2 linked regions of the Oryctolagus cuniculus genome follow. The protein of the gene in region 1 interacts with the protein of each later gene in a biochemical or structural test. Links are inferred from orthologs where the notes say so. Each region holds a gene or a part of one and is shown in the gene's direction. Other genes may lie near its edges. The genes, in order: FLT1 and PGF.

Evidence for each region.
Region 2: the proteins of FLT1 (region 1) and PGF are reported together in a solved structure, tested with the Homo sapiens proteins (2 studies listed by BioGRID and IntAct, with this or other methods). The link is inferred for Oryctolagus cuniculus from reciprocal best matches to the Homo sapiens genes FLT1 and PGF.

What each region holds. Positions count from the first base shown.
Region 1 is NC_091440.1:86,019,380-86,023,937, forward strand, and holds the start of FLT1 (vascular endothelial growth factor receptor 1), read left to right. Parts: upstream 1-1,585; 5' UTR 1,586-1,869; intron 1,870-1,880; exon of another isoform or gene 1,881-2,084; intron 2,085-2,207; 5' UTR 2,208-2,513; coding exon 2,514-2,577; intron 2,578-4,558. UniProt on the Homo sapiens protein: Tyrosine-protein kinase that acts as a cell-surface receptor for VEGFA, VEGFB and PGF, and plays an essential role in the development of embryonic vasculature, the regulation of angiogenesis, cell survival, cell migration, macrophage function, chemotaxis, and cancer cell invasion.
Region 2 is NC_091451.1:21,009,207-21,013,652, reverse strand, and holds the start of PGF (placenta growth factor), read left to right. Parts: upstream 1-1,644; 5' UTR 1,645-1,983; coding exon 1,984-2,058; intron 2,059-3,162; coding exon 3,163-3,205; intron 3,206-4,446. UniProt on the Homo sapiens protein: Growth factor active in angiogenesis and endothelial cell growth, stimulating their proliferation and migration. It binds to the receptor FLT1/VEGFR-1. Isoform PlGF-2 binds NRP1/neuropilin-1 and NRP2/neuropilin-2 in a heparin-dependent manner.

The sequences.
Region 1 (4,558 bases):
CAAGCTAAAATGAAATCACAATTGTGACAAATTATAGCATCTTTAGGTTCTTTGTAGGAAACTACCACAACTAACAAAAGGAAGTAGTAGTAAAGAAATGGCTGACTAATGCAAAAACCTGCAGCTTCTCAAAAGAATAAAGTTTCTAAAGGACACTAATCACAGCACGATATTCACATTAATCTAAGTTCGATCCAACCATGACTCAACCCTAAATAATTAGGCAATGCTTTAGTATTTTTAATGAGTGTATCCGATGGTAAAGATTGCTCCAGCTGTCCCTCCAATACCTGTTCTTGCTTTACAGACTTGATGCAGCCTAAACTCTGGTGGCAGATTTGGCAAGTGCTATCTCTGTGTGTTTAAAAAAAATTTAAAAAGAGCACGTGAAAAAAAATGGATTCAGTGAAAGTAAACCTTTGGCTGTTGCATGCTGAGCCTCTTTCCCCTAGAGCAGCCCAAGGTCTCTCCTGAAAAGCTCACTCCCCTCCAGCATTGTCCTGGGGGCCCCAAGCCATGGCCCCCTGCCCACACTCCCAGCCCCTTAGAAGGCAGAGATAGGGTCTTTCCATCCTAGGGCTGTGCCCTGGCACAAAGCCTGGCCCCCGTGGGTGCAGCAGGAGGAGGGCAGGACTGCCAGCTTCTCTTAGGGAGAGGGTGAGGGAATGAGATGAGGCAGAGGGTCAACGTGGCTCTGCGTGTGCCCCAGCCTGTCTCCGGGCTGGGGGATGGGCTGGGGAAAACCCTGTTCTCAACCCCCCACCCCCACTCCTTTCAGTGGTTTGGAGGAATCACCTGGGCTGGAGGCAGAAAAAAAAAGGAGGGGGGGGGGCCGCGAGCCAGAGGGATAAGGAGCATTAGAAAGGGCTGGGAAGCAGCACGTGAACCATGACACCTCCGGGGAACCATGGGGGATGGAAGGATGGCAGCGCAGGTGCAGGTGCCCTAGCTTCCAGGGCCGGACCCGGGTCTCCTGCGGGGAGCCGTCGGGCGGCAGCTCTCCTTGCCGTGTGGCCCAAGATGTGGCAATTTCGCGTTGCCCAAGCTCCCTGAGGCGGGGAGGTCGTCCATTCCTTCAGGAAGACTCACCAGTCCCGTTCAGGAGCCACGCAGTGTCTTTATCGTGGCCATCTGCTTTTTCAAACCTGTGGGACTTAGGTGAGACCGCAACGCTCGGTGGGGCCCAGGATGACCCCAGCCTTGGGGGTGCTGGAGACCCAGCTGAGGCAGAGCGTGGAATGAGTGTCCTGACAAATGATCTAGTACCTCACGTCGCCTGGTTTAGTTCTAAGAGTAGCAGAGTCACTCGTCCTGCGTAGCCAGCTGCCACCAGTCCGATAGCATTTCCCAGTCTTTGGGAAGCGAAGTACTGGGCCCTCAGGAGTTGTAGGGGAGTTTTTCAGCCTCCGCGCCTTTTAATTTTTTTTTTTAATTAAAGGTATCCTGATGCTATTCCTTGTTTTGCTTCTGGGAAGCAGGGGATTGAGGAAATGACTTGGGCGGGTGCTTCGGTACCGCCGAAAAAGTCTCAGACGCGCTCCCTTGGGACCCGAGCCGGTTCGCAGTCTTTCCCCAGGTGCCAGGCGGGCGTCCGGTCCTCTCGGGCGCTCCTGGTCAGTGACTCGTACTGAGGGTCTCTGGCACCTTCTGAGACTTCTCGGGACAGTCTGGCGGGGTCAGGGGCGGCGGGGGCAGCGCGAGAGAAGCAGGCAGAGCGAGTGAGCCGGACTGCGCCTCGCTCCTCGGTGCCAAGGACACGGTCTCGGAGGCGCGGCCAGCTTCCCTTGGATCGGACTTCCCGGCCCGAGAGCCGGGCGGCTGAGCTCCAGCCCTGTCCCCTCCCCAGTGTCTGGCGGCCCCCAGAGCTGAGTAAGCCGGGCGGAGGGAGCCTGCGAGGATTTCCTGAGCGCGAGGAGCGGGAGGGGGCAGGGGCAGGAGGGCACGGAGCGAGGACCCTGAACCTGCCGGGGCCGAGCTCCCGGGCCCGCGAGGCCAGCGCCTCCCCTCGCGCGCCCGGCGCCGGGTCCCCCGGCCCCCGCCCCTCTCCTGGGCCGCAGGGAAGCGAGCCTGGGAGGAAGAAGAGGGTAGGTGGGGAGGCGGATGAGGGGTGGGAGACCCCTTGACGTCACTAGAAGGAGGTGCCGGGGTAGGAAGTGGGCTGGGGAAAGGTTATAAATCGCCCCCGCCCTCCTCTCCTCTCAATCTAGGTCCGCGGGAGGCTCGGAGCGCGCCAGGCGGACACTCTTCTCAGTTCCTCCTCAGCAGCGGCGGCAGCTCGGAGCGGCTCCGGGACTCGGGGACAGCGGCCAGCGGAGTGCCGGGCGGCGAGGAGTGGCCGAGGAAGTGGTTGTCTCCTGGCTGGAGCCGCGGAGAGGAGCGCTCCGGGCGCAGGACAGGAGCGCGCGCGGCGGGCTGAGGCGGCGGCGGAGCGCGGGAGGACGAGTGCTGGCGACCGGGTGGTCGGCCGCGAGGAGCGCAGGCACCGGGGGCGAGCAGGCCGCTTCGCGCTCACCATGGTCAGCTGCTGGAACACCGGGGTCCTGCTGTGCGCGCTGCTCGGCTGTCTGCTTCTCACAGGTGAGGCGCGGCAGGGGGCCGGGGCCGGAGCGGCGCTGGGCTGGGACGGCCATGGAGCAGAGACCAAGCCCCCTTCGCCCCCCGAGTCGGGGCCAGGTGCATACGTGGGGAAGGCAGGCGAGGCTGCAGCCGCGAGAAGCGAGCCCGGCGGGAACCGGAGACAGTTGCGGCGGGTACGCCCGGGACCGCGTTGCCTTTTTTTCCAAGTGGGCTCCTAAGAGAGTGGCTGACCGGAGCCCGCGGGCATCACCGCCCAGACCCGCCGCCTGCAGCGCGCCCGAGTTTGGCACTGGGGCTGCCCCTTTAAAGCAGGATTCTCTGCCCTGCTCCGGGGCAGGACCTAGCCCATCCAGGATGTGGGCACGGGGAGCACCGCACACTCGGGCTGACCTGGCAACGAGAACCTGTCCTTGGCTGCCTGGCGCGGGTCTGCGGGGCCCTCCGGGACCAACAGCAGCGGCTACGGAACGCCTGCAAGGCTGCCCGGGAGTGGGAGGCGATCAGGGCGTTGGCAATATTGGGCACTGGCCAGGACCTCGCACAGCGAGAGGGAAGCAGGAGAGCCAGACAGGAGCGTGCTGGTGCCTGCGTAGAGCGGGCGCATCCAGGGACCGGGCCAGCGCTGGTGTCTCTGGACCGGCGAAACTGTCCCAACAAGCCGGACCGTCCCCAGGAGCTCTGGGAGCTCCCGCAGCGCCCAGCCCGGAGCCGACCAGGGGTCCTGAGCGCGCTGCGCGCAGCCACCAAGCTGGGACCCCTGCGCGGAGCAGGCAGGGTGTGCCGTCCAGCGCAGGTCGCCGGCGGGGAGCGACCCTGACCCCCGAAGGCGGGCGAGGGCCCAAACAGCGTCAGGGTTTGACGTTGTAAGTCCGGTCTTTACATTTTGAGTGGAAATCGGTGATGTCCTGTCGGCGCCGCCACCGAAGTCAGTCGGGCTTTTGGGACAGGGGCGGCGGAAAGGTCAGGCAGGGGCGCGGAGGTTTTAGCGGCAGTTGGCGTGGAGACAGCTGCCGCGAGGGGTCACAGCCCAGGGGACACGGGGGATCGCACTCCAGGTCTCCGCTCGGTGAAGCAGGGAGCCCAGCCCGGTGCGTTCGGCACTCTGAGCGCCTAAGGAGCAGACCGCCCGGCGCGTTCCTTTTCAGGATCGTGGAGAAAAGGTAAAAGAGGCAGTGACATAAAATAGAAAAACGTAAAATAAATCATTGCAGCCCTTCGCAGGAAGAAGGCAAGAAGGCTGAGCGTAATAAAAACCAAAAAGACACCAGGCTTGTTAAACCCGCAAGGCAGGAGCAAACAGTCTTTCTCAATGCGAAGACTGCTGTGATCGCGGGTTTCTAAGTGACAGGTCCCTGGCAAGTCGGTGACGCTGCTCAGGCGGGAGGCAGAGAGAAGCGGTAGTGGCTGAGCCCTCAGCGGAGGTTGGGACAGATCCCAAAATTAGCACATTAAATCAGAGCTTGTGTTTTCATTTCGTAGAGGTGTATCTTGTTTTTTGAAAAGTCGCTTATGCTAAAATTCAATTGCTTAGGGAATTTACCTGGTTCATTCCTCGACTATGTAAAGGTAAATCTAGGTAAATTACTGTGAAGCCAACGCTGTAGTGGGAAAAGTACACATTTTATTGGATTCTCACATACCACAGGATCTTCAAAAAGTTTATGGAAAATGTGTTCTATGAGAAAATGGCAGGGATTTCCATTTCTTTGTGCACCAAAAATAAATTGCTCTTTTAATTCCTTTTTCCACGACCTTTTGGGAGTACCGCGAATGTATATATCCTTGCTTCAAAAACGTGGCTGATTTTTCGTGAAGTTAGCTTCATGATTGAGAACATCTTGGAGGAGTGGAAGCTTTACGGGAATGTGAAGTGGGTCCTCTTAGACTATAACTTTCTTAAATAGAACAGAAATCTTGGTACTTGTTTGGGGCTTTTAAGAAGATTTTAGACATTGTAGGAAGAATGGGGCACAAACATCGG
Region 2 (4,446 bases), on another chromosome or scaffold:
GATACACACACAGTATACACACCCCTACTTAGAGACAAACATGCCCGATCACCAGCCGTTCAGTAAAGGCAAGCACACACAATGCGCTTAAACGCACACCCACACTCATGCAGAGCACACACCGGTGCCCACATACCTACTTCTGAATCTAAAACAAAGAGAGCCCCAAACACCTGCAACTTTGGACACAGATGTTCTGGGCAACTGTACACGATCCAGTTGTCTACGAACCGTCTCTCACGTGCACAGCAACCCTGCACCCGGGCTGGTCCCAGGAAGGACTCTGTGTATGCGACAGCCCCTAGCATGTTGGAGCTCGTCGGAACATTCTTAGCTGGCGAGTGGCTGGTCCCTGGCTTTGGGTCTCTGGGACAGGCAAGGAGACATGTCTCTGGCAGCCCCTCGTGGGTGGGCAGGCAGGCGGCGGGCGCAGAGGTCACGGGGGTGAGAGCCGGGCTGCCGCCCTGGCCTCCCTGCTTCTGGCTGGAATGTGAGCTGCTGGGCCACCTCCCAGGCCTGTCTCCTCCCCCACAGCCATCCACCAGCCCCAGGCTCAGCCAGCTTGCTGGGATCTTGCAGCCAGGGAACAAACCGCAGGGATGGGTGAGGTGATGGTAGTGAAGAAGCGAACAGACCAGGCACACGTGCACACAGATGAGCAGTCACGCACCGAAACCTGTCCAGATATGGGCACGCAGAGAAAGACACACATGAGCAGAGACAGAGGCAGCCAGACACAGAAATAAACACTCAGATCTACTTGCACACTGTCCAGGGACACAGCAGAGGGACACACACAGAATCACACCCAGGTACGCAGCACACAGAGCTGCAGCTGGAGGTAAGCAGTGGGCACACACAGGCTGGGACACATAGCACACGTATCTTCAGCCACGTGGACCTGCACAGACACACACAGACCTCCCCACGCATTGATGCCCGCAGTTCCTCCAAGGCCAGGAGGAGAGGCAGGCTTGGCCACCCTGCTCCCCAGGGGGCAGACTGCTTCCCCAGATGGACCCCCAGCCAGGAGCCCCAGGCGTTTCCGTTGCCCGTGGGTGGTGCACAGCTGCCCAGCAATGCGGTCTAAGTGTCTGGCCCCAAGGCAGTGGGTCAGGTGTCGAGGGTTCTGGAGTTGCATAGTAGCTCGGGTCTGTCTCTGCAGGTCCTCATACCCACATACCCTTCCCCAGGGTGTGCTCGTCTCTCTGCTGGGCACGTGCAGGCAGGAGCACCCTCTGAGACCCGGGGTCTTCATCCCTCCAGGGGCTAGCCATCCTGGGGGTCCGGGCTGCGGCCCCTGCCAGGCGGCTGAAGTCTCAGCTTGGACGGCTGGCCCCACCCGAGGTGGCGGTCGCATAACAGCCTGCACGCAGCTGGGGAGCCCCGGGTGGGCAGGCACGGGCAGTTCGGCAGGGTGTAGGGGCTACGTAGGCAGCGCCCCTTCCTCGCTCTGCACGGTGGAGCGCGCTGGGGGGCCCGCCGCCGTCCCAACCCCCGCCCCCTCTCCTCTCGGGCAGGGCTCTCAGCTCGGCTCTCGGCAGCTCCCGCGGCTGCGAGAACGGAGCCTCGGTGGGCGGGGCCGGCCTGGAGCCCCGCCCCGATGCACAGCCCAGAAACCCTGTCGCCGACAGCTTCAGAAGGGAGCTGCTGTCTGAGCAGGAAACTGCATCTTCAGACAACTGCCCGGCCGCCAGGAGGACCGGAGGACGCACGCGGCGCCCGACGGACCCTCCCGGGGACCCGCCTGTCCCGCCCCGCCGCGCGCCACCGGGCCACGCCGCGGCAGGTTCCCCAGCGCAGCCGTACCTGTGGGCTCCTGACTCCCCGGGGCGTCCAGAGGATGCTGAGGCCGGCGGCGGCCTCGGAGCAGCGCTGAGGGCACGGCCTGCCCCCTCCCCGCGCCTCTGCTCCGGTGCAGGGCCCGGGGGACGAGCATGGTTGTTTCCCCCTGGAGCACCCTGGCTCTGGAAGTCTGAGCCGATGCCCACCATGAGGCTGTTCACTTGCTTCCTGCAGCTCCTGACCGGGCTGGCACTGCCCGCCGTGCCCCCACAGGTAAGAACATCCCTCTTCCCAGCCTGGCCGGCCGGGTCTGCCCATCCCAACACTCCGGGCAGGGGGCTCCAAGGATGCCCGCAGGCTTCCAGGGGTTTGGCACTGGACTCTTGACCTCTGGAGCTAGTCCCAGGTGGGCTGTCCCCAGCGTGGGGCTGGGGGCTGTCTTGGCAGGAGGGAGGGGAGGGAGAAGCTCCCTGTCTGGTTCCTGGAACCCTCACTGCTTTGCTAAAAGCATCTGTCCACTGATCCCAGCCAGGTCCCCGGCCTTGTGGTCAGGGTGGAGTCCCTGTGACCAGCCAGGCGTCCCCAGAACCTCTGACCTGGCCTGGTAGGGCGGAAGCTGGACCAAGAGGCTGGTGGTGGAGAGCCCAGGCCCTGCCCACCAGAGGGGCTCTCTACAGAGTTTGGGTGGAGGTGGGAGTTTGGGAGGTGGGCTGGCAGTGAGACAAGGGGTCCCACTCTGCCCTCCATCCCTAGCTGGGGGGCCAGAAGTCCTGCATGAGGGGCCTGGGGAAGTGAGCAGGACCCTTTTCCCAGGAGCCGGGTGAATCTGGCTGGTAGCCAGCTTGGGCATCGCAGTCCTGACAAAGCCAATGAGCTCCCTTCCCACTGCGCTACCCCGGGAGTCCCCAGCCAGAGCCCAGGGGTGGGCTGGACTGGCCAGTCCAGCCGCCTGCCTGCCTGCCTGCTGCAGGGCTGGCCAGAGGTGTAACGTTACCAGCAGCACCAGCTCCTGGCGCCACCGGCTCTGGCCCCTCAGCTCCCACCAGCTGATCACCGCCTCTGGGCTCTGGCACCCAGCCAAGGCGGGCTGTTCAGGGCCCGGCAGGGCTGGCCTGGGGGGCTGGGTAGAAAGGGAGACCCCACAGGATGGCAAAGGATGTCCTAAAGCTCCAGCCTCCCACCCTTCTCCCAGTGTGGGAAACTGAGGCCAGAGAGGGGCGGGACCCAGCGGAGCCCTGGAGAGAGGCTACTCTGGGAAAGGGCAGAGTACACCGCTCAGGGAGCTCCGAGGGGCCCCTCCCCGCCTCCACCACGTTTGTCCCAGAGCACAGAGCCCCTCGGCAGCCCCCTCTCACGTCTGCACCTTTCTGTCCGCAGCAGTGGGCCCTGTCTGCTGGTAACGGCTCCTCAGAGATGGAAGGTAAGCCAGCCAGCTGGGGCTGTGGGCGCACCCGGTCCCCGCTTCTCTCCTCCCGAGAGGCCGGGAAGGGATGGGTGTGAAGGGTGGGTGCACGCTGATGATATGTTTGGGAGGGTCCATGAGCTGCACATCCTGGCTGCCGAGGCTGGCGGGCCTCAGAGACCCACCCACTCTGACCCAGAGGCCTGGAGAGGGGCATTCGTGGGCCAGGGTCACCGAGCACGCCGAGAGCCCGGCTGCGGCCAGGACAGCCCGGCATCATCCAGCTGGCTCGGAGCCTCTTCCCAGCATGATGTAAGGGTGCAGATGCGATCTTGGAGGGCTGCATGGATAGCGAGTGCCAGGGGCAGCCTGGGGGTCCGGGAGCTGGACACGGAGGGCACGCAGTCAAAGAGGGTGTGCGTGGGGGGCGGTGGGGACAGGCCCTCCCCAGCAGCCCAGCCCTGGCGGAGTGGCAGGGATCTGACCAGGCTTCTCCAGTGATTACAAACAGAACACAAGTCGCGCCCTCCCCGGCCCCTCCACTCCCCGCCCTGGGTTGCATCAGGAGGGAATCTTCAAAGGGCAATGAGGAGACTCTGCCAAAGAGACATACGTGCAGGAGGCGGGAGGCCTGTGCCAGGCCCCCTGCCTCGCTCCTCCCTCCCTGCCTCTCTGAGACGTGCAGGGCAGCCACACACCACTGCCGAGGCTTCCCACGGAGCCGTGGGAGAGGGGCGTGTAGGGACGTGCACACGCACACGCGTGATAGCCGTCTGCGGGCTGGGAACACCCTCTGCTGGCCTGCCTGCTGCCTGCTGCCTCTCAGCCAGGCAGCCAGCCTCTTGTGGGCTGTGCCATGCCTGGGCACCTGGGACCCTTGGCCTCCGGGCAGATAGGGGAGGTAGCTGCCCTTGGTTTCACTGGTGGTGCTAGGGTTTGGGGAGGGACCCATCCCTCACCTCCACATAGTACCCTCTTTCGTGCTTTTAGTCTAATTCAGGCAATGTCTGCGCCTCAGTTTCTGTATCTGTAAAATGGGAACAGGAGATTACACGACAGCTAAAGTTCTTTCTTTTTCTAAGATTGCAGCATTCTCAAGTCCAAGGAGGAGGCATGGGCGGATGTATCTCCCAGCATCCGGGGTGGGAGGCTGAATGGTGGCCCCAGGAAGTTCAATGGGCTGTGGACCCCAGTTCTCACAATCTGACAATGCCGTCCTCTCGTGAGGGACTGCATGGTCCTGCCTTGTATGGGCATTC